4 linked regions of the Arabidopsis thaliana genome follow. The protein of the gene in region 1 purifies or fractionates together with the protein of each later gene. This does not show direct contact. Each region holds a gene or a part of one and is shown on either strand. Other genes may lie near its edges.

What was found.
Region 2: the proteins of AT5G52490 (region 1) and AT3G07590 fractionate together in Arabidopsis thaliana (co-fractionation; one large-scale study listed by BioGRID). This does not show direct contact.
Region 3: the proteins of AT5G52490 (region 1) and AT4G02840 fractionate together in Arabidopsis thaliana (co-fractionation; one large-scale study listed by BioGRID). This does not show direct contact.
Region 4: the proteins of AT5G52490 (region 1) and RLK902 fractionate together in Arabidopsis thaliana (co-fractionation; one large-scale study listed by BioGRID). This does not show direct contact.

What each region holds. Positions count from the first base shown.
Region 1 is NC_003076.8:21,296,247-21,301,961, forward strand, and holds AT5G52490 (Fibrillarin family protein), read left to right. Parts: upstream 1-2,610; coding exon 2,611-2,629; intron 2,630-2,865; coding exon 2,866-3,239; intron 3,240-3,321; coding exon 3,322-3,399; intron 3,400-3,491; coding exon 3,492-3,737; intron 3,738-3,831; coding exon 3,832-3,993; downstream 3,994-5,715. Other genes in the region: FIB1 (fibrillarin 1), read left to right, coding at 84-263; AT5G52480 (RNI-like superfamily protein), read right to left, coding at 672-1,248, 1,368-1,516; AT5G52500 (uncharacterized protein), read left to right, coding at 5,329-5,715. UniProt on the Arabidopsis thaliana protein: S-adenosyl-L-methionine-dependent methyltransferase that has the ability to methylate both RNAs and proteins. Involved in pre-rRNA processing.
Region 2 is NC_003074.8:2,420,430-2,426,485, reverse strand, and holds AT3G07590 (Small nuclear ribonucleoprotein family protein), read right to left. Parts: upstream 3,436-6,056; 5' UTR 3,341-3,435; coding exon 3,327-3,340; intron 3,188-3,326; coding exon 3,111-3,187; intron 3,033-3,110; exon of another isoform or gene 2,897-3,032; coding exon of another isoform or gene 2,884-2,896; coding exon 2,692-2,883; intron 2,590-2,691; coding exon 2,528-2,589; 3' UTR 2,499-2,527; downstream 1-2,498. Other genes in the region: IBM1 (Transcription factor jumonji (jmjC) domain-containing protein), read right to left, coding at 1-338; AT3G07600 (Heavy metal transport/detoxification superfamily protein), read left to right, coding at 1,532-1,537, 1,640-1,718, 1,798-2,186; AT3G07580 (uncharacterized protein), read left to right, coding at 3,825-3,874, 3,991-4,022, 4,458-4,604, 4,830-4,880, 5,053-5,105, 5,211-5,309. UniProt on the Arabidopsis thaliana protein: Involved in splicing regulation.
Region 3 is NC_003075.7:1,261,748-1,268,014, forward strand, and holds AT4G02840 (Small nuclear ribonucleoprotein family protein), read left to right. Parts: upstream 1-2,879; 5' UTR 2,880-2,978; coding exon 2,979-2,992; intron 2,993-3,116; coding exon 3,117-3,193; intron 3,194-3,386; coding exon 3,387-3,416; intron 3,417-4,154; coding exon 4,155-4,346; intron 4,347-4,438; coding exon 4,439-4,506; 3' UTR 4,507-4,712; downstream 4,713-6,267. Other genes in the region: AT4G02830 (uncharacterized protein), read left to right, coding at 700-795, 893-982, 1,134-1,290, 1,846-1,935, 2,064-2,185; AT4G02850 (phenazine biosynthesis PhzC/PhzF family protein), read right to left, coding at 4,788-4,895, 4,985-5,068, 5,187-5,348, 5,426-5,755, 5,836-6,033. UniProt on the Arabidopsis thaliana protein: Involved in splicing regulation.
Region 4 is NC_003074.8:6,450,543-6,455,326, forward strand, and holds RLK902 (Ribosomal protein L7Ae/L30e/S12e/Gadd45 family protein), read left to right. Parts: upstream 1-2,760; 5' UTR 2,761-2,894; coding exon 2,895-3,021; intron 3,022-3,116; coding exon 3,117-3,328; 3' UTR 3,329-3,476; downstream 3,477-4,784. Other genes in the region: TSK (tetratricopeptide repeat (TPR)-containing protein), read right to left, coding at 325-416, 624-800, 1,312-2,112, 2,237-2,503; WNK6 (with no lysine (K) kinase 6), read right to left, coding at 3,765-4,312, 4,405-4,784.

The sequences.
Region 1 (5,715 bases):
CTTAATCAAATTCAACAATGTTCTCCTCTGTTATTATTCAATTTGTATTTCCGTCGCTAAATAAACATGTCTCATCTGTTCAGGCCAACTGTATCGACTCTACAGTTGCAGCAGAAGCAGTCTTCCAGAGCGAGGTGAAGAAGCTGCAACAAGAGCAGTTTAAGCCAGCAGAACAGGTGACTCTCGAGCCGTTTGAGCGTGACCATGCCTGTGTTGTTGGTGGTTACCGCATGCCGAAGAAACAAAAGACCCCAGCCTCATAGAGGAACTGTGGACAGTAGTGCCTGTGTATTAAGACTTATTTACTGGGTTTTGTTTTTATCTCCTTGCTTGTTGTATTAAGCTAGAGATGGATAATGCTTTTATGTCTCATTTGGAAAATTTTATCCTCGTTTTAGAACTAATATATATTGATGCAACATTTTCGTCCAATGATTGTATCTCCATCAGTCTTTTCTATGCTTGTTTTTGCTTGGCTATAAGAACTACTGTCCATTTTAATCCTACTTGTTTCTGCATGCTGAATTGATTGTTGAAGTAGTTTGTTTTGAACATGATTATGCTCAAGAAAAGGCGTAAAAGTATCACTTAGCTCTGAAAGGAACTCATTTTTTTTTGGTTAATAAAATTTTAAACACAAACAAACCGACTAAGTGTTATTGACATAAGTCTCAATACAGTTTCAAGTAATATTCGGCTTCTTCCACTATTGGATCAAAGTTATAGGCGCCTTCTTCCATCGGTAGCGCATTTTTAAGTATTGCCAATTGGCGTGACCAATGAAAATAGTAAGTTTCAAAAGAAAACGGGTAATCAGCAGAGGTAGAATCATTGTGGCGTCTCAAATCTTTAATTTTCTCAAAACAACGCTTCTCTAGATTCCCGACAAGGTTGATACATTGGCGTAAATCGAGGTGTTCCAGGTGAGGACAACCGTCAAGAATGGCGTTTAAGCCTGTTTTGGTTAGTTTGTTCCCACAAAGCTGGAGATGGCGTAGTTTAGGCATGCTTTCTGCAATTGCTATGGCATCATGATCATCATCATCCGAACTTAAGTAAAAGAGGCGGTTTAGCATCAATGTCTTCAGATTTGGACAAGACAGCCCTGCAAGTTTCATAGACTCTCCTGACAATGATATTCCTGAAACCTCAAGCTCTTCAAGCATTGGAAGTTTCACAACTGCTTGAACAAATCCATCGTCTGTTATTTCTGAGCACATTAGTCTAAGGCTTCTAAGATTACTTGACCTACAAGTAATGGTGTGTAAAAAGTTATAAATCATAATCTTGAGATATCTGTTTTTAACAGACACTTGAAGACTTACATGAAAAGTAATCAAAAGTCAAAACTAGAATTAGAGGAGAACCTCTCCGCGATGTATGTAAGGAGAGAATCACTCCCGAAGTCCCCAATGTTGATCTCCAGCAAGCCACCCTCGCTACGATCAACGGCGTTACGACATATCGCCTCAGGATTGTTCACCAGTACTGGTTTGTTGTAACTCAAGATTCGCATGTCGATTTTACGCCATATGGATGGGTCTTTACAAACATATCGTCACGATCTACACACTTTCTGAGCGTTCTCCAGTATCTCAGTCACGCTAAGACGTAGCAGAATCAAACACATCAAATCCGTCGGAAGATCCGCCCAGTTTTTTGGCTCTTCGTTTTTCATCAGTGAAGACAGCGGATCCATTTCTGATGAGGATCAAAATGTCAAATCTGTGAAATATATATATCAGAAAGTCATTTAGTTTTAGGCCTTCTTTGATTATTTGTAGATTCTAAGTAGTTTTTGGTTTTAGTTTTAGGCCTTGAATGGTAGTAGATTCTAAAATGGTTTCTAGTTTGCATAAAAAAGTTTCCTGAAAAGCTAAGAAATCTAAATTTTTAATTTTTTATTAATTAATGAAAAGCAAAAAAAAAAAATCTATTTATGCAAACTAGACACCATTTTAGAATTTACAATCATTCAAGGCCTTAATTGTTTATTAACTAATGAAAAAAAAATCAATTTTATGAGTTTTTTGTCCAACTTCGTGTGATTTTTTTTCCTCTTCTTGTTTTGTTTAAACTAATGATTGTTTTGGACTTTAAAGTCAGAAGGCATCTCTGATTACTTGATCTGCAATATAAAGTTATAACAATAAGATGCAAAATTTTACAATCTAGTCCTTATGGCACTAAGTTTACGAAAACAATTCATGTCTAATAAGCCCATTACCTGAATTAATTATTGGGCCTTAAGCTCCTAATATTCTGACCTTTTGTATTTCAAAATCATGTATTCCTTGCATAACAAGAAATCTGATGGTGGTGATTCGATAAAAAGAGTTCGATAGGATCTGAAATCTTCCTACAAGAAGTAAACTGTTTAACAGAATTTGTTAAATGTAATAAATAAAAACTTTTCCATATTTATCGGAAAAATAAATGGAACCTTTCCAGCTTTCCTATACCAACTCCAAATTCCAATAGATAAACATTCTTAAACCCTAGCAGGGGCTCGATAAAAACTAAAAAATAAAAAAACCAAACACGAAAGCTGCAAACATCGATTAACATCAACCTTCTCTTTGTTGCTTTCGCTCTCGCTCTATAGCAAAGATGAAACCTCCCCAAAGAGGTTAGAACCCTAGCAGCCGTTTTGTTTTACTACTTGTTTAATTTCTCTGTTCGACCTATAGTATAGGGTTGAGGGTTGTTAACTCCAAATTCGTTTTGTCACAATATATCTACCTGAATTGCTTGTTACGTAAACTGTTTTGAGTCTTCACTTCTTCAATCCAAGTTTAATAGGAGATTTAATAATACTCTCTTCTGATTAGTTAATTTCGGTTTTATCTGTATGATTATGCTCAGGACGTGGTGGTGGTGTTAGAGGTGGAAGAGGTTTAGCCAGAGGCGGTGAAGGAAGTGCCGTAAGAGGCAGTGGAAGAGGCGGCGAAAGTGGCCGTGGAAGAGGGCCTGGAAGAGTTAAAAGTGAATCGGACGGTGGAATTAAGGGAGGAAGCAAAGTGTTAGTGACACCACACAGGCACGCAGGAGTGTTTGTTGCCAAAAGTAAAGCAGATGCTCTTGTAACCAAGAACTTAGTTCCTGGTGAAATCATTTACAATGAGAAGAGAATCTTTGTTCAGAACGAAGACCGATCTACTGTTGAATACAGAGTTTGGAACCCTCATAGATCTAAGTTAGCTGATGCTATTACCACTGGTGTTGATAACATTTGGATCGTAAGTCCCATAACTTAAAGTAACAATCTCTTTTATTCTTCTGTTACCGAAACTAATGAATACTTGTTTCTTGAAATTGTAGAAACCTGGTGTTAAAGTTCTGTACCTTGGTGCTTCTTCTGGATACACCGTGTCTCATGTCTCTGACATTGTTGGTCCAGTAAGTGAACACTAAACCTTAAACCCTAACTTTTAAGATTGAGTGAGTGTTTTCTCTCTATGTTACTTATATCTAGCTTTTCTGATTGGTAGGAGGGATGTGTTTACGCTGTTGAGCATTCTGATATTTGTGGTAAAGTTTTGATGAACATGGCGGAGAAGAGAACTAATGTTATACCAATCATTGAAGATGCTAGACATCCTGCTAAATATAGAATGCTTGTGGGAATGGTTGATATCATATTCTCTGATGTTAATCACCCTGAGCAAGCTAACATATTAAGTCTCAATGCTTCTTATTTCCTCAAATCTGGAGGGCACTTTATGATCTCTATAAAGGTTTGTAACAAAACTTTTTTGACCATTGATTCAAATCAAAATCATTCTCTTTTTAGTGTGCATTGTTTGGTTAACTCTAAGTTACTTGTTTCAGGCGAATTCTATAGACTCAACAATTGCAGCAGAAACTGTGTATCAGATGGAAGTGGAGAAGTTACAAATGGAAGAGTTGAGACCAACAGAGATATTGCATCTTGACTCTTGTGAGGAAAAGCATGCTTGTGTTTTTGGTGGATATCGCTTGCCTAGGAAGTAAAAAGCTGATACTGCTATCTAATTAGGAAGCTGATACTCTTTACTTAGTTTGTGATTGTTAAAATTCATACACATTCATGAGGCTTTAAAATTATTATTTTTCTCTGATTCTCACTGTGATTTGTCTTCTAACTAGTATGAGTTTTAAGAAGTTGAGTTTTGCAAAAACAAAAGGTAGAATACACATACATTTTGAGTTGAATTCTAGTATTTATATTTTGGTTTGTTTTATCGAACGTGGAACTAACACAACGTTACATTGAAGAATCATTCATTGTGATTTGAGATTTTCAATGTGATTTTAAAAGTTTGTTATCGATAATATGATTTTGTGGAAGTGTAATTTCAAATTTGTAGACAGAAAGTGAAACTCTGCTTGTTCATCAATTTATGTTTCCTTAGACATAATTGATAAATACATTGTTTTGTGTTTATGACAAAGAGAAGACGATAATTAGCTGAAAATAATCACATTATTCAAATATGTTCCAAAGAATAAAATTTTTGCACTATTTGCTATTTTCAGTTCTGCCTTCTAATAGATTAAACTTTCGTAATGAACTTCATCCTTGAAAATTTAAGAGTAAATTTGAAATTGGTCATCAGGTCATGTATTAAAGGGAAAAATAACAAAATAAAAATGTCAGAAGTGGGATTTGAACCCACGCCCTCTTACGAGGACCAGAACTTGAGTCTGGCGCCTTAGACCACTCGGCCACCCTGACTTTTTGTTTGTATAACTACACTAAACTTAATTGACATAGATTAAACGGATACTAATGCAAAATATGAAAATAGGCGCAATATCAATGTCTGCTTGAGCTATATCATATTATCATTGAAAATAGACCAATTGGCTGTAACATTGAAAATAAAAGAAATAAGATGGCTGGACACGTGGAAAACAAATTGCAAAAGAAAATGATTGAAGGAAATGTGTGGATTTTCGTGTGTCGATGGTAAGCTTCTATCAACTTCATTTATAACCTTTTTCTTATATGGGTTAACAATAACACAAGTAACATGTTCACCAATTATTTGTTCTACAAAAAAAAACTAACAATTTGGTAAGTTTAGAAAGAGAACCAGAACTAACCATAATCAATTCTAAAGCTATACCGTTTAAACTGACTAGTCTCTCTTCTCTTTTGATGTCTCATTCTGCAAAATTTTCATTAGGAGAAACATTCAGTTTTTAGACTATTAGTACACATCATATACAATCTATCTACATTTTGTAAAACTCAAATGTGTTAATTAATCAGATCTAACTACATTTGTAAATTATTTATGCTCTTTATACATTTTCAAAATGTAAAGATCCACAACAAGAGGAATGGGTTTGTTCTTAGTCCTATTCCCCGACCACAACAACAACGACTCTTCTTCTTATTATTCTCCGGCAAAAACTACCTTCCGCTCCAAATTATCCTCTCGTCTTCTCCTCTCCAAGGCTGAATCCACAATCTCAAGCTGCATCATCCTCCTCTTCCTCACTCTCTTCCTCTTCACTCTCTCTACATTCGAAGAACCTTCCTCTCGTTTTCCCGCCATTTCTTCTCCTCACTGGCGATTTCTCCTCAACCGCAACATCATCTCTCGTCGTTTCGCTCTACAAGGAATGGGTACTCTGTTTCTAAGAGGAACCAAGAGCATGCACGATTTAATCATTGCTCATATCGCTTCCGTTACAACGGAGAACGATCTCCGTCTCTTTATACGG
Region 2 (6,056 bases), on another chromosome or scaffold:
TCCTTGGGCATGCTTCCAGAAGCTTCTCCTACTTCAATAATGGAGTCTTTGCGATTCAGAATCTTAGTCGCGGCTCTTTTTTCCTTCACCAGACCAGTGACTCGGTTTGCTTCATCAATTTCGTTCTTTTGCATCTCCTCGTCTTTCTTCGGTGTCTTTTTCGGAGCCCTATTTCCACCCCTTTTGCCCTTTCGCTTGGGTCCTCCATCTTCTTCGTCGTCAGTCGGAGGATCTACGTAATTCGCCAGCTTCGTAGAAACCCTCCGATGCCTACGGAGACCACCGCGTCCGTTCTCTTCTTCAACCCTAACAACACCTTCTTCCTCCACAGAATCCATTTTTCGAAAATCAAAATTCTCAATCGTCCTCGGCGAAACTCTTGCAGCCCCCAATCAGCTACGAAAGAAAACCCTAGACACGGGATTTAAGGCTGATTTTTTATTTTATTTTGGGGAAACTGAATGGTTTTCTCAGATAGTAAAAAAGTTTTGGTTTAACTTGGTCAAATCTTTGGATTTATTTCCCGCTCTTTTCTTTTCTTTCCAAATTCTTTTTTAAATCATGTTTTTTTTTTGCTAATACAGGGAGATCACAGAAACCAGATTGTATATGAAGATGTTAAAACTTAAACTTGATTATTTTTTATTTAGCAAATAAGATTATATTTATTTACCCGTTTATCTCCATGAGATATGATACCTAATTACCTATGATATATCATTGGATCAAACGGTTGCAAGTTGCTGATATCACTGCAATTGGCATCATCAATGTGTAATGTGTTAAGAAATTAAAGTCAAATTAGCATTAGACAACACACATTAGTATAAACTAAAAGCTTATTGTTTCATTACGTTAGAAAACTGCAATATGATTGCGAAAGTACGTATTGCAAGTCAAGCATATAACATTTGTTAATACAGATGGATGACAGATTAGTAGTCAAGTTAATCTTTTTTTTTATTGAGAAGGAAGTTAGAGGGAAACATGTACTCTAGAGAAGACCAAGACTTTTAACGCATCTGTTCTATTCATTGTTATGCACAACTGGATGATGAACAAACAAAACTTATTAATCATCATAATTGACATATCGACTCAAAAATTATTAAGTCTTTTGCCATACATGTCTAAAACTACCAGGCAACGGTGTAGTAAACAAATATTATTTGTGTTGTTTACCATTATTTAATCAATTTATTTTGACCCAGTCAAATAACTATTTCATCTAATTTTTTGACTCAATCAAATAAAGATTTTTGTTAGGCTTTTTAAAATTAAAAAATTGGTAATAAGCTCGTACGAATCGGCAACTAGAACCAATAAAACACGTAAGGACCGAAGATATGAACCTGACAACGATATTCAAACTATCGGATTCCGTTGTGTGAGACAACGACTCATGGAACAAATGAATATATAAAATCGATCCTTATTTATATTTCCTCTAATTTGTGATCGAAGAAGACACAAAAAAGTTCGGAGCAAACTCCCATCAAACAAATCACGCGGATTCTCAGAAGACAATAACATGAAGGTATGTCTCCTGTGTACTCAACAACAAGTAATAACTTCGATTCTCTTGTGAAAGAGAGAGACTTCTCTTTGTGATGTTAAGGAGTTCTCTTATTGTACTCAGCAAAAGATCCTGATAAGAATTGCTATGACTGATGACACAACTCGAGCAAAGGCAATGAAAACTGCGGTTCAGTTTAAAGGTAACAATGATACAAACACTAGAGAACTTGATGATTGTAATTCTTGTTGAATCTAAAGATTTATCGCATTGGTTTATAGGCGTGAACGCTGTGGAAATAAAGGGAGATCACAGGAACCAGATTGAGGTGACCGGTGTTGAAGTCGATATGATTGCTCTAATCAACACACTCAGGAAAAAAGTTGCATTTGCGGAGCTTGTTAGCGTAGCTAAAGTTGAACCACCTAAGGATGGTGACAAAAAGCCAGAAGAAGAAAAGAAACCCGAAGAGAAGAAACCCGAAGAGAAGAAACCTGAAGAGAAGAAACCTGAGCCATGTTGTCAACCATGGCAAAAACCTGAGCCATGTTATCAACCATGGCCTCATGATGGATATGGTGTGCCATCTTCCTATCCCTACCCGTGTGATCCCTACAATCAGATCGGGGAACCCGTTTACAATCAAGATCCCAATTGCAGGATCATGTGAGATAGGTTTCATGTGGAAGATTAACGGAGGAGATAGCAGTTTTTCTATACTAAGATTGTCAACATGTTAATGCAATTTGATAGTCAGATTTGTTAAATGAATAAAAAGTCTTGAGCTATCAGTATCACACAAATTCTCTACTTGTAGATGCTCTTATAACATGTAAAGCCAAATCTTGTTATCCATGGAATTCCATTACAAAGTAACTCCTTACTAGAGCATCAATCATACTATTTCTCAATCAAATCTTTCCTTTGCCAGAGTTGCTAGTTACATAACTCGTACATTCTCCTAAAAATTAAACTCACAAACCTTCAACATGTTCCAGAGCGCTGCTACATCTAACGACCTCTGCCGCGACCACGCCCACGGCCACGTCCGCGACCGCGTCCAACAGCTTTCCCTAAAGAAGAAAGAAAGAGAGAACGAATAAATGGACTGATAAAGAAGTCTTTTAGCTTATGAAGACGAATATTACAAACACCAAAAATGAATGAAGCAGTACCAGCAACAGGCTTCTTAGGTTTAACTCTAGGAGTGTCTTCCACAAGTAAAGTCTCGAGGTTCAAGCTATCAGGAAGAATGTAGTAGCGAATATTATTACCCCTCAAGCTAAGATGATCAAGTGTTACTGGGTTTTTCCCCTTCAGGCTCATCTTCACTGTCTTCAAGTGAGTGTTCATGCTCACATCAACACCTGCCCAAATCATCAAGCTTAAACTTCAATAAATATACCTTTATGACTACTGGCTCTAACTGTGTGTTTACTCAACCTATTCATGTGATCACAAGGACGCGATTAGGGCCAATTGAAAATAAGGGAACAGATCGCGACTTGTATAAGACCTAGCAACGGAGAAATCGAGAGAGAAGAAAAGATGAGAAGAGCTACAAAGAAACCGGAAGCTAACAATAAGAACTTACCAGTGATGGTTCCATGGACCACAGTCCCATTCTTCAGCTCGATAGACACAGTTTCATTGTTTAACTTCATCAAAAACCTACTCGATCCAATCAAAACCATATAACACAAATCAGCTCAGGCTCAATATTGGGAATGGATTCCATGCCAGGAGCTAACTAAGATTAAGAACAACATGAATTTTCTAAAGAAAAGAAGAACTGAGAACGAAACAGTACCTGACGAGCTTCATCTTTGGATGCGAAGAAAGAACAACCAAACAAAGAAATTGACGAGGAAACAGCGAAAGGTGTGAAAACCCTCAAAACCCTTCTTTCGCTGTGAGAGACCTCACGATGGAGCGGGTACAGATCCGATTCCGGTTTTGGATCCATCAGCTAAATTACAATATTGGGCCCAAAAATGTAGTAAGGCCCATAAAGTCCAATGGTGGACCAGTAGATGTTTCAACCAGAAATCTACATACAGTTGGTTCAGCAAACCGGAAATTGAACACGAAACGTTAATTTCGGAAAGGCGTAATAAAAGCGCGCGAGAGGTTGATAAACACGCGTCGAAGAATTCGCGCGTGAAGATTGAACGACTTCAGACGAGAAGACGCTTTTCAACGTTCTCTATGCGTTAAACAGTTGACTGTTGACAGATCTCCTCCGGTAGAGAGAGAGAGAGAGAGAGAGAGAGTTCTCTGAAAAAACTGCGTAAATCCTAACTCGTCAATGGCGGATTCGAGCTCCAATCAGAATCGATACACTCCTCCTAATCAAAGGTAACTTCTTCTTCTTCTTCTTCAGTGGTCTTTGATCTGCTGATTTCGAGTGTTCTTTATTCTACTGATTTCGCTACTCCGTTCTTACCTTTCGATGTTGCTTCTCCGTGTCACAGGAAGGCTTCTGGGAATCGCCGGAAGTCGGGAGGTATGTGAGCTCTCTCTCTCTCTCTCTGTCTTCTTTGCCTCAGTCGTTCTTTATTGATTCTTAATCAATTCGGTTCTTAATTCCGAGAGTATCTAGTTCTGTGGAGATTATAGCTTAGATCAAAGATTGTCGATGAATAGAAGTAATCTTGTTTTGTAGATTCAGGAATTGATTGCATGCGAATCTGTACACATTGTGTTTGTGCATAGTTGGTAACTTCAAGAACCGTTTCTAAGAAAGTGAATTATTAGGAGTTTAGCCTGAAATTCAGATCTCGCTCTCTCTTTATTAGCAAATCCGCTGGTTGATTCATTTCTCCATGTGTGTACTTGACCCATTTGTTTGCCTGTTTTCTTGAAAATAAATCGTCGTTCAAGCTATATCTGGTTTTGCTAGTATGCTATGGTTCTTGGCTAAATAAAGAGTGAAATGCAGATCGAACAAGTAGCCAACAGAACAACGATAATGAGAGAAATCAGCCTCCTGCTACTGGTCTTCAGATGGAAAACATATCCCAGACCCAGAGGATAATAACAATAAAGGACTGCTCCAGGAGTGCAGCTTATCAGCTCATGAGCCAACGTATAAATCTGAACTATCTCTTTAAACATTTAGCTGGTTTATTCTTTGCTCTGTATCACTATCTGGTCGTTCTTCTATCAACTGTTGCTATGCTAAGCATTTGTTGAGTCAGTGCTAGTTTTAGAAATCTTTGAACTTAATAGATAAGGTGTGTTGAATTCACTGCTTATGCAGTCAGTTTTATGTACTTGTCTTATTTACGTGCTCTTGATTTGTCATGAACAGGATGGGCAGCTGAAATGCATCAATACGACGACCCAACTGTGGATCTATCTGGTGAGATTAAGGGATTCTAAGTTTTCCTTTGTCCTTTGTGTCTATTATACTTGTGCTGCTTGAGTTGCCTCCAAATACAATCAGATATATCTATGTTCTTATCTGGATCTCTGTCTTCCGGTTAGTCAAGTATAACTGATTTTCAAGTTTGCCTACTTTCTCTGTTTCACAGTGCGACCAATCATGTACTATGGAGGGAGTGTTTGGGGTAAACTACCTCATCAGGTGGAACTAACTTCAAACTCTTATCATATGCTTCTAGTTTTTCTAAAGATGTGAGTACATGAATGATGAGACCCCATCTCTTGTTTTGTGTCAAAACAATTACAGATCCTGGCTGCAGCAAACAAGACATTACCTCCTCCATCGCCAACGGATTACATGACTGAAGTGCGGCGAGGATTGCTGATGCCAAAAGCCAACAATTGAATGGTTCTTGTTCAGATGATGGAGCCCATATAGACTAGTGAAATGGTGTTTGTTGAGATGGCACAAGCGGTGGTATGTCAATGACTTTTATATTGTGTGTGTGTAGGATAACAGATATTGCTTTTGTCAGGATCGGTTGTTTTCTCTGGTCCCTGAAAGTGTAAAAAACCCAAACCAGAGATTTGAGTAACAATCACGTTACCATCTCATTTTAGCTTAACTGGATTACAAATTCATTGCTCCTTTCATCTGTCTTACAAAGTTTGGTTTTGAATTAGACGGGAAATAGACCGTCTAGCTAATAGAAGCCAGTTGTTACAAAATTTATGTGAATCCAAGTACTAAAAGTAATAACACCAAAAAGGCAAATGTATAGTAGTACATACTATTATCTGTATGTCTGAAAAATCCCATTGGTCGATCAATGAATAAACACAATGCGGCAGATGCAATCAATAACCAGTTGACTTGAAACTTAAACTGACTAGACCGATACTGGTCGTGAAAAAGCTAGGATTCGTAGCAAGTACTCCAAAAATTAAAGAGAGATTTATCATTTTGTCCTTTTCAATCAAGTTTATTATTTTTGTCTTTAAATGATCAAAACATGTTAAGTTAGCTGGTACATTGCAATCATTTTTCCACATCTTAAGCCGACGAGAGACAGAGAAACAGAACGAAAGGATTTTTACTCTTTCTTAATGAAACAGAGCTCTTTATTTACCAGATTAGTAATAATAATGATAT
Region 3 (6,267 bases), on another chromosome or scaffold:
AGTTTAAAAATGAAAAAAATCAGTCAAATAATGTCAAATTAGCATGTGAATTTTACGTGGTTGTAGAAAATATGTGAGTCGTAGATAACAATAAAAACCTTTCCATAGTAAAAAAATGTATAGTCTAATAGTTTCTATTAATGTTGACGTTACCTCACGGTTACTACACGGTTTATATGAATAATTGCAACAAACAAAAGCTTCTAATAGTAAAACTTTATAGTCTAGTAGTTTTCATTAATATTGGCGTTACCTCACGGTTACCACGCGGTTTATGTGAATAATGGTAAAAAAAAAACACTTTCCAAAGTAGAAAATGATATGATTATTTTTGTTTTGTTTCGAAAATTTGAAATGAAAGGGTGTGTAACTCTCGTTTCATCCTCGTAGTAATGATGAAACCAAATTCAAATAATAAAATCATTGAAACTCTTCTTTGTTGTCAACATAATAATTAGTTTTCTATAAAACCAAATTTGTCGTCATCATCTCTCCTTCTACTTTCCAAACCCATTAATATTTATAGTTAAGATTCAGGTCAGAAGTTGGGGACAATCAAAACCTCTTCTCTTCTTTCTTTTGTCAACAAAGAAACATTTCCATTGAGTCTCTCTCAATGTTCTTCTTCTTCTTCTTCTAAGATTAATTCAAAGTGTTTAATACTTTTGAAATTTTAAGTTTCTTTTTGGTCAGTTTCAAATGGGTGACATCATCGGTCACAAGGATAGGCAAATATGGCCACCCTCTCATCATGTTCTTCAAGATCCATTGTTTGATCATTCCAACAAACATCAGGTTTATATTATCTTATATCTAAATTTTTTCTATTTGAATTTGTTATTTTTTTCTCCTATTCTATATCGAAGTCGTTGTTAATTAAATTCTCACATAGTTGCAGAAATATGTCAAGAACCACCATCACCACGGCAACGGTGAATTTCGTCGGCCCGGGGCACCTCCTCTTAGACAAACATTTCCTTTGGTATTTCTTTTCAATCTTTTTTTTGGTTACAATCTCTTAACGGTATTGGAGGAAATATCATTATGGACATTAACGTATGTATTTAAACATATCTTATATATTTTCAAACTAAAGCTCAAATATTTTGTATATATATTTTTGTGTGTTGAAGAACTATAATACAAGACAAAAGCACCAAAGCAATTGGCAAAGGAGTAAAGGAGAGGATCGTATGCAAGCATTTTTCTTGGTTACACCGGGCCGTACAACTTCTGGCACCGGAGTTTTTCTTCCAGCCACGGCTTCTCATCCACCCACCAAAAAAACAGGTTATTTATTAATTACTCTATACTAAGTATTTATGAACACAAATAAAGGTGCATAATGTTTTCAATTTCATAAAATCAATTCTACCAACTGCATATACTAAAATTCTTTTAGTTTCAGGTTAAAGTTGATTTGACATGATTTTTAACTTACATTTTGTCGTTAAGTCGTTTTTTTTTTTTTGAAAATAATGTTCAAATTATATTCAAAAGAAAAATAACTTTTTTACAACCACTGCTTCTTGAGATTGAAGATTTAGAGCTAGACAAAATTTAGAAGAATTTGAAAATTTTTGATGATTTTTTTTGTCGTTTTTTGTTTTAAACATATATAAACACAAAAACCTCAATTCTTCGATTACTACGAAATATATCATGGATTCATACATCTATTACCATTTTTTTCTATCTATTTCGTAGCTTTTGTAGGACAATTGACATAAAGAAATTGTGATTTGTTGGTTTTTACGTTAGTCAGCCTTTACTATATAGACTCATTAATATATGATTTAATGTTATACAATTTTGATTGATGAAAACAAAATTCTCTTGTCATAGCTTGCTCACCGGTGCTTCTCCCGACTCGTGTAGTTCAAGCACTCAATCTTAACATTCACAACAACGGTATCCATATTTCTCCTCGTCCAGGTTCTTTTCCAACCATTATTTGTTCTCATCGACCGTTATTCAAATACATTGTGTTATATATTACAAATTAGTTTGAACTATAGATATATTTTGGTTGAAATTGGTAACATTGTTTCTTTTGAATGTAGAAATTAGAGAAAATGATTCGAAGAAGAAGAGCGAAATGTTGGCAACAACACCTATCAAGATTGAAGCAGAAAATCCTATTGATTCGCCGGAGAAACTTCTCCCCGAGGAATGGATTTATTGATGACCCAACCATTAGTATGGAAAAGTAGAATCAAATAAAATAAAATGAAAGATTCTTGTGTTGATGTTACAAAAGAAAAGAAAAGATTCTTGTGTTGATAAGAAAAGAAAAGATTCTTGTGTTGTATGCTTCGTCACCATTGGATTAGTAATAAAAATCCAAATAAGAGACTCTGTATATTCCATTCATAATGTAATATCCCCTATTTTCAGTTGAAAAATTTGCATAATTTAGTTGTCACAATTATTAATGGATTTAGGAAAAATTGGATCAACAATACCAAGATGAATGACTGGATTCGAACACCAACGTTACTATTGGGCTAAAAGGCCGAATCAAGAATACTAAAACCTTTTGTTTTTTTACTATTTAGCTAGCTAATGATGAAATTTTTTATCATTGTATTGTTAATTTTGACTAAACAAAAGTTTTAAACAGTTTTTTTTCAAAACTAAACAAAATGTGATTGATAAAAGATAAATTTCTAAAGTGAGTGATTAGATTCCGCAAATCAGATTATTTGAGTTAATTATTCTGTTTCTTTCATTTGGGGTTGTTTTTGTTCAATAAAAAGTTGAGAAGGGTGTTATTGATAAGTTCAAAACAAATAGGGTATAACCAAACATTCAAGGAAGTAAGAGACCGTCGGTGTGAAGCAGAATCCATAATTGGGGACTTAAACATAAATTCCCCTATTGCTGCTTTTCCTCCTCCCGCTCTTGCTTCTTGCCATTGCTGTTTCGAGCTCTCCTCAAAGCCCTAATTTTCTCCTCTTCTTCTTCATTCTCTCACCATGAAGCTCGTCAGGTATGGTTTCTACTCGGATTCTCTTTATTTCTTCGGTTTAATTGGAATTTGCTTCGAAATTTTGAGATTTCTCTTTGTTTTCATGCTCTTCGATGTTTGATTTCGTATCTGGATTTTTTCGCAGGTTTTTGATGAAATTGAACAACGAAACAGTTTCAATCGAGCTTAAGAACGGAACCATTGTTCATGGAACCATTACTGGTACGCTTCTCTTAAAAACCCAGCTCTATTCGCTGTTTAGGGTTTTGTGTAAAATCTACGATGCTTACCTGTAATCGATGGTTACTCGCGTATTCACAAATTCTGATGGTGTAGTTTGAGTTTAGCTAGTGTCTTTCCCCTAATAATGCTTTGTTGGTATTAACCCTAGTGACACTGGTCAAGTCAGATGCAGATGAGTACACTAGATTTTACTTGAATCGAGGTTTATGAGATAGTTTAGTTCTTCTTCAAACTTTGATCACCCATGAGGTAGTTTACTTTCTCCTTTGATGGTTGTAACCAATGGAGCTCTCGAATTTACTAATTCTGATGTGTAATTCTGTTAATAGACCTAGAAATGCATTGTGGGTGTTGAATCTCTCTTGTTTGCAATAAGTGAATGATAATGGTGGTCTAGTCAGATGGAGATGATACATTTTATTTTGCTTTATAGTTGGGTGTATGAGAATGCTTAGTTCTTCTGGGAGTGAGTTTAGCACATGATTATATATGAGATAGTTTACTTTAGTTTCCCTCTTTATCATTGTGGACCTCTCTTGTTAACAAATCCTGAGGCTTAATTCTGTTATTAGTGATAGTATCTGAAGAAGTTAGAGTTTAGCTGAGTCTTAATTATTTTTTTACCTCGAAATGCTTTGTTGGTAACCCTCTTGTTAGCAAGAACTGAGTGATACTTGTCGAGTCAGATGCAGATGATTAGATTTAGCACATGAAAGTCACTCTTATCTCTTTCCTTGTAAAGAAAATCTCTGATTTTTCACAGAACAGTTACCGTGTGGCTTCTTGTTTCAACTTCTCTTTTAGTCTGATTGATCTAATACAAGTGGTCTCTGCTGTTAATGTTTGGTTTGGTTTCCTTTTTCTGCCATCATCTTGTTTAGAATGCAATTATCAATCAACTCACTGACTGGTACTATCTACTTGTGATGACTTAATGCAGGTGTAGATGTTAGCATGAACACTCATTTAAAAGCTGTGAAACTCACTCTGAAAGGGAAGAATCCAGTTACATTAGACCACTTAAGTGTCAGGGGAAACAACATTCGCTATTATATTCTTCCGGACAGTTTGAATCTGGAGACTTTGCTGGTTGAAGACACTCCAAGAATCAAACCCAAAAAGCCAACTGCAGGTAACAAAACATTTCTTTTTTCTGAACTATGCCTTTGTTTTTGTTTTTGTTTTTGCTTAGACTCATCTTTCTATTGTTCTCTTTGGTATCAGGTAAGATTCCAGCAGGTCGGGGACGTGGTCGTGGAAGAGGTCGTGGACGTGGCCGTGGTGGTCGTTAAGCATTTTGCAGTAATCAAAAGTCTGGTCCTTTTTGGTTTGTAACAGCAGGATTGTAAAAGATCTATCTTGTAGTGAGATTTGGTGTCACTAAGACAAATTCTTGTTATCTCTTTAAGTTTTCATGAATTTGAGATTTGAAACGTTATTGCCAAACATACATCACTCAATATGTTTTATTATTGACTTGATCACTTTATTACATAGTCTGATAAAACGTGGGGAGTTCGAGAAATCAAAATCTTGACCTTATTTTTCAAGACTTTGGCAAAGAGTCGAAAGATTAAACTAAGATAGAGCCTTTCATGACAGTCACAGCTTTCCCGGTAAGCAAGACTCTCTGCTTCTCCTTATCATAATGAACCTTGAGTGTTCCACTTCTTTGCGAAGCCTGAAAAGAAATTCGTTGATTCGTTAATATGTGTGATTATTTCTTGCTTCGAAATGTTAGTTAGCTAGTTACAGAGAAAGATGAATTACCGCAAAAGCGACGAAATCACACTTGTTCATCTTGAGGCTCCAGTAATGTGCTAATGAACAATGTGCACTTCCACATACAGAGTCCTGAAGGAACAAAAGCACCAAGCAAATAAGGTAACGGTAAACACTTTTGGTAACGGCTACCACAAGTAAAAAGCAGAGAATTGCTCCCATGCACGAAGTTGCAGGTTAGTTTCTTAACCTCATTGAGCCCTAGTTTAGGAGCAAAGAGTCGACTGCAGAAGTCAAAAGGAGATCCTTGAGGAGCAGCAGCGGTAACAATCATCACTTTGCCAGGGCATTTCACGATATCATCCACTCTTGGCTGAAATTCAATGACAGATTCCCAAGATGAAAGCACAACCTGTAATCAAATCATATAAATAAGCAAAAAATAGAAAGTTCACAAGTTTTCTTTCTAAGGAAATCTGAAATACATACGATGATTTGGTCTGTTGAAGTTGTTTTGAAAGCTCCTATCAAGGGTTTAAAGATGAGTCTATCAGTTTTAGTTTCTCGAACATCGACAATGGTAGCTCCATTCAAGGCTTTAGAGAAGATGGAGACATCCTTGGAGCTGTACTCACAAGTTGTAATCACAGGGAAATTCATTTCGATCAAGAAAGATCTTTTAGAGTCACAATCAGACAGCCTTTTAGCGGTTAGAATCCCCGAGTTGGTGGAAAATTCGACAGTGTCAGATGAACCAACCAAACTGTTTGAGAAGATACTATGAGCTGATGCTAGTGTTGCATGACCACATATATCCATCTACAAAATCAAATAAATCGAACATTGTACAAAATGGAACGGAGGGAGTAATAAAATACAAAAATGTTTGCAAGATGGACCTCGGCTACAGCCGTGAACCACCTCAGAAGGAAACGTGGTGGTTCGGAGCCGGGGATGGGAATAAGAAAACACGTCAATGGAAGGTCAAACTCAGAGGCCATAGACTGAAGCCACACGTCGTCTCTCTCATGATCCTCTTCAAGAAAACACACTGCAGCTTGGTTCCCCTTGAAGGCTGACTCAGTGAATGCATCAACCTGTGTTTAGCAATACTCGTTCATAAAGAAGAAGAAGATCACATTATCAGAGCAAAAACAAAGAAAAGAATATACAATTACCACGAAGTACTTGACAGGAAAATTCATATCCATTGACGTTTTTGGTTCTATTTTTGCCATTGATGTTTTCGTTAGACCAAAGCTAAACTTTTATACCATTTTGGAGGCTTTTAATTTACAATGCCACTTCATCTTTTAAGAGAAACAGACAAT
Region 4 (4,784 bases), on another chromosome or scaffold:
ATTATCCACTATCATGAGAAGTACTGATTCAAAGTACATTGTATTATTTATTCAGAAGCCATAGTGCAGTAATTCGTGAACTTAGTCGAAAGGGACAACCAACAAGCAGTTAAGTACTTTATAGCACATTCACATTTGCTCTGCTTCAAGTGTTCTTTCCATTTTAAGAAAAAAATGAGTTTCATCGCCGTCATATTGTTCAATGGAATTATCAGTTCTCTCAAGGAAAATTAATAAGTAGATTTACTAGGACTGAATCACAAACATAACCAAATAATAGCTCAAATGCGCAGTTTGATAAAGATTACTTATAATTGGATCTACCTGTACCCCTCTTCATATGCCTGAAGTGCTCCTGTCCATTCCCCAATACAGTCCAAACCATTACCAATATTAATCTTCGCTAGTGCTTGACCCTACAAGAGACCACCATAAGTGAATATTAGAATCAGGAAAGAAGAATAGCTATAATATTGACAAATCCAAGAAAAGGTATAATCAGTTTTCCACAGAAAATGTTCAGTAGAGGCCTAATGAATTATTTCTGGTTTTGTGAATCAAATTCTGATGACAGTAGTGAACATAGGTTTTTATAATTAATCGTGCAAGCAAACAAATCTCACCTCCAGATTACCAATTGCTTCATGTCCCTCATAACTTCTTATGAACCACTTCAGGGACTTTCTGAAATTTCTGAGATTTTGGTAAGATTCTCCAACAATCATGAAGGCATCACTCAGCTTTTCCTTGTCACAGAGTTCATCTGATATTTTCTTCTTCCTTTTTGAATATTGAAGATGCTAAGACATTCAAAGAAGAAATAGCAACCCTTTAGTTGCATGCAAACTTCAAATGGCAGCCTCCTACTTAACTTTCAAAACTATATCACAAGTCATTGAAACAGTGATGCAGAGACTTGGATCACTCAGTATCCGTATGATACAGAATAATCATCGTTTTGCCACATAATAACTTTACTTTGCAAGTTCAGAACAAAGATATTATCCCAGCATTCAAAAGATAGGTTTTCTTGAGAGAACAAGAATCATGTAATTCTTTGATAATATAGTCTTCCTGACTGATCTGAAAAGACAGTGTCAATAGCAGAAGTTCACAAAACTTAAATCAAATCTAAGAAAATAGCATATTTTTCCTACTCCATACTACCTGATGAAATCTCACAATGCTTATTCATCATTAAAAACCCCTACGATGGACAACTTTAACTTCTGGAAACTTTTCAAATAAATGCGAACATGGGGTGGAGTGATAGGACTAAAAAGGAAGGAGTGTTTAAGTTATAAAACTCACCTTCAGCCATGCGAATACCATGCTAGATTTATCAATAAGACTTCCAAGACAAGCATTTACTTGGAGCATAGACTTTCGTTCCTCCGAAGTGCCTTTGGCATCAGTCATTTCTGCAGACAACTTCTTAAGCATAAGCTCTTCTTCTCTCAATTCTTCCATAACTTTCATGGATTTCTTGACTATCTTGGTATTATGCTCTATCTGTTCAACCAATGCACTCTCGTCTTGCATAGATTTCGCTAGACTAGAAGCTTTACCATAACATAAAAGAGCATCAATGTACTTTTGGGTCTTGTTGTGTAATTCAGCGAGATTGATATACCCCTTCGCTTCTCCTTGGACATGATTAATCTTATGACAGATATTAATATCCATCTCAATGTGTTTCTTTGCTTCATCCCAACTTCTCAGCGCCATAAAAACGTTTCCAAGGTTATGATGAAGCCTACTCCGAGCAGCATCATACTCTCTCACCTCCTCTTCATCGCAAATCTGCAGCCCTTTCTTAAGAATAGTACGGGCTGCTTCAGGATTATCAAGATCAAGGTCAAGCATACCGATGTTGTTATGTGCGTTAATATACTCCTCAAGGAATCCGCTAGATTCTCCAGGAGGTGGTTTCTCCTTGAGAATCTGTGCAAGTTCCATGGCTTTCTTAAAGTACTTTTTAGCACTCTGAATGGCTTCACAATCATCCTCAGACTTCAAGAACATTTCATGGTAAGTACGTCCAAGTTGAGTACATGCTCTTTGCTTCTCCACAGTGTCATTAGCTTCTTCAGCTAGCTGTAAATGCTTCTTCTGCAACCACCAGAAAAAAACACAAATTCAAAATGAAAAACTCAAACACCAAAATTATTCACGGAAAATTCAGGAAGCCAACAATAACCAAGTAGGAAAAAGCAATTGATTCAAGAGGGCTTACCTGATAAATCAAGGCTTCTTCGAAATTTTCGAGGCGGAGATAGATCTCGCCAAGAGACTGACAAGTAGGTAACAAATCTTTCCCAGGTAAATACTTGACGGAGATATCGTAATCAATCCTAAACCACTTGAGAGCATCAACGTACTCTCCATGATTCTTAAGGATATCGCCGACATTGTTAGCCCACCTCGCCTGTTCTCTCCGGTCACCCACTTCTTCTGCTTTCCGGTACGCTCTCTTCGCCGCAGCTACATCTAATCGACCCATCGGATGATGATTTCTCCGTTCTTCAATTGAAAGGTTTTTGTTTTCTTCCTTCCGATTTTCAGATTTCTCGAAATTTCTTTCTCAGTGATTTTGATTTTCTCATTTTCTCCAGTCGCCAAATTTTTGGTCCCATCCCAAACTATCCCGCCAAAATTCAAGGGTAAATTAGAAATTTTCATACCCTAAATCCTGAAGTTATAGGCCTTTTAGTTTGGGCCTTGGGTCGAGTTTATTTTGGGCTTCTTATATCCTCCTGTCTCCTGACAAGAAAACAAAAAAACCCTAAGGGTTCTAAGGCACTCGCTATATAAACTATCATTTTGCGCCGCCCGAACCCGAAGAAGAACTCTCTCTTGTAAACCTGCGATCTGAATCTTCCCGGCGGTGAAAAATGGTTGCGGAGAAGAAGGCGAAGAAGTCCCATGAAGGAATCAACAGCAGATTAGCTCTTGTGATGAAGAGTGGAAAGTACACTCTTGGATACAAGTCTGTTCTCAAATCCCTTCGCAGCTCCAAAGGTAAAAATTTAAAATCCCTCTTCATCGATTGATTATAGTGTTCGTCTTCCTCGTAATTTAGTTGAATAATTGTTGGATATTGTTGGGGGGTTTAGGTAAGCTGATATTGATATCTAGCAATTGCCCACCGTTGAGAAGGTCAGAGATTGAATACTATGCGATGCTTGCTAAAGTTGGAGTTCATCGCTACAATGGCAACAATGTTGATTTGGGTACTGCTTGTGGTAAATACTTCCGAGTTTCTTGCCTCAGCATCGTTGATCCTGGTGATTCCGACATCATCAAGACACTTCCTGGAGATCAGTGATTCTGATTTTGATGATTTTGCCATGTTGTTCTCTATGCTTGATTATGCTTTGTGTTCTTCAAAGACTTAATGTTAGATTTCTTTGGTTTCCCGACTTCCTCTTAATGGTTATAATTAATTACTACATTTTCGTCTCTGTTGATTGATTCCTTACACGAAAAGGCTTGATTACTTTTATTACAATAGTTGGCTATTAACTAATTACATGTTCAATTTATACAAAATCATATATAATGGACAATCTCTTAGAACATTTTAACAGGAACCATTTTTTATGTTCTAACTTGTAACAACCAACCAAATTAAATCTCAATTAATCAAATAGAAACCCTTCATCTTTCTACACTTCTCCTCCAACCAACAAATTAAACAAAAGAGATTAAAAACACAAAAGCTCTTCATCAGTATCAACGTTTTCTTTGAGCTTTTTTGGCTATTACTTTAACTTCATCAGAGACAACTTTTTCTTCGTCTCCATAATGGCCTCTTCTCTTTTCGTTGCTATCTCTTTCATATCTTCCTGATACTTAGCTTCTATCTCCTCCAGCTCTTGTCTTAACCTTTCTTCTTCCTCCAAACTTACTGGTTCGGTTGCTTCTTCTACTTCTTGAATGGAGCTCTTGTCTTCTCCTTTGGTGGCATCGACGCATTGCTTATCTTCCTCATCTGATCGTGGGCAATCTGAGTTACACGAGTGACTAACCAACTCACAAGTATCATGAAAAACAGTCTCCTCTTGTTTCTGTGGCTTTGCTTCGTTATGATGACTTCTTGAGTTCTGATTCAGTTGCGAATGGATGAGATGATCGACTGTGACATCGGTTTTCCAGGTGGGTATCATGTTGACAAGTAGTATATCAATCAGCTCGGCTATAAACGTGACGTTCTGGTCAGTTAACTCGAGTTGCTCAACCATCTCACTCGACACCTTAGAAGCAGTGTCCCCTTCTTGATAGAACAGGAAATGAATGTTCCTCACACGCCCTGTGCAACAAGACACAGTTATATTAAGTTTCAGAATGCAAAAATATCGAAGAAAGTAATGAATCTTAGCTGGAGCAGAATAAAGAACTGACCATTCTCATCTACTATACGAAGAATTAAGGACACAGACTGCTCATCGTTTTCTTCACCCTTGAGGACAAAGAAATTCCCTCTCTTTGCGCGTCTAACCTCAATACACCTGGATCCTGAATTGTCGCTAAAAGTAACAATAGGCAGGTTACTGTCTTCATCAAGATCTATCGACAAGGTTTTACTAGGCCGTGTTGTAGGAGGACCTTCAGACATAAGGCAACGGTCTCCAAATGCGCCTTCTTTGGGCATTACAATGTCAGGAAGCGGCAAAGGATTGTTCATTGTTAAACCATTTAGTTGCAGAAAAGGGTCCAATAAAAGCTCTTTTGCTGACAGCCTTTCGGATGCAGGAAGTAAGCATTTCTCAATAAACTGTTTT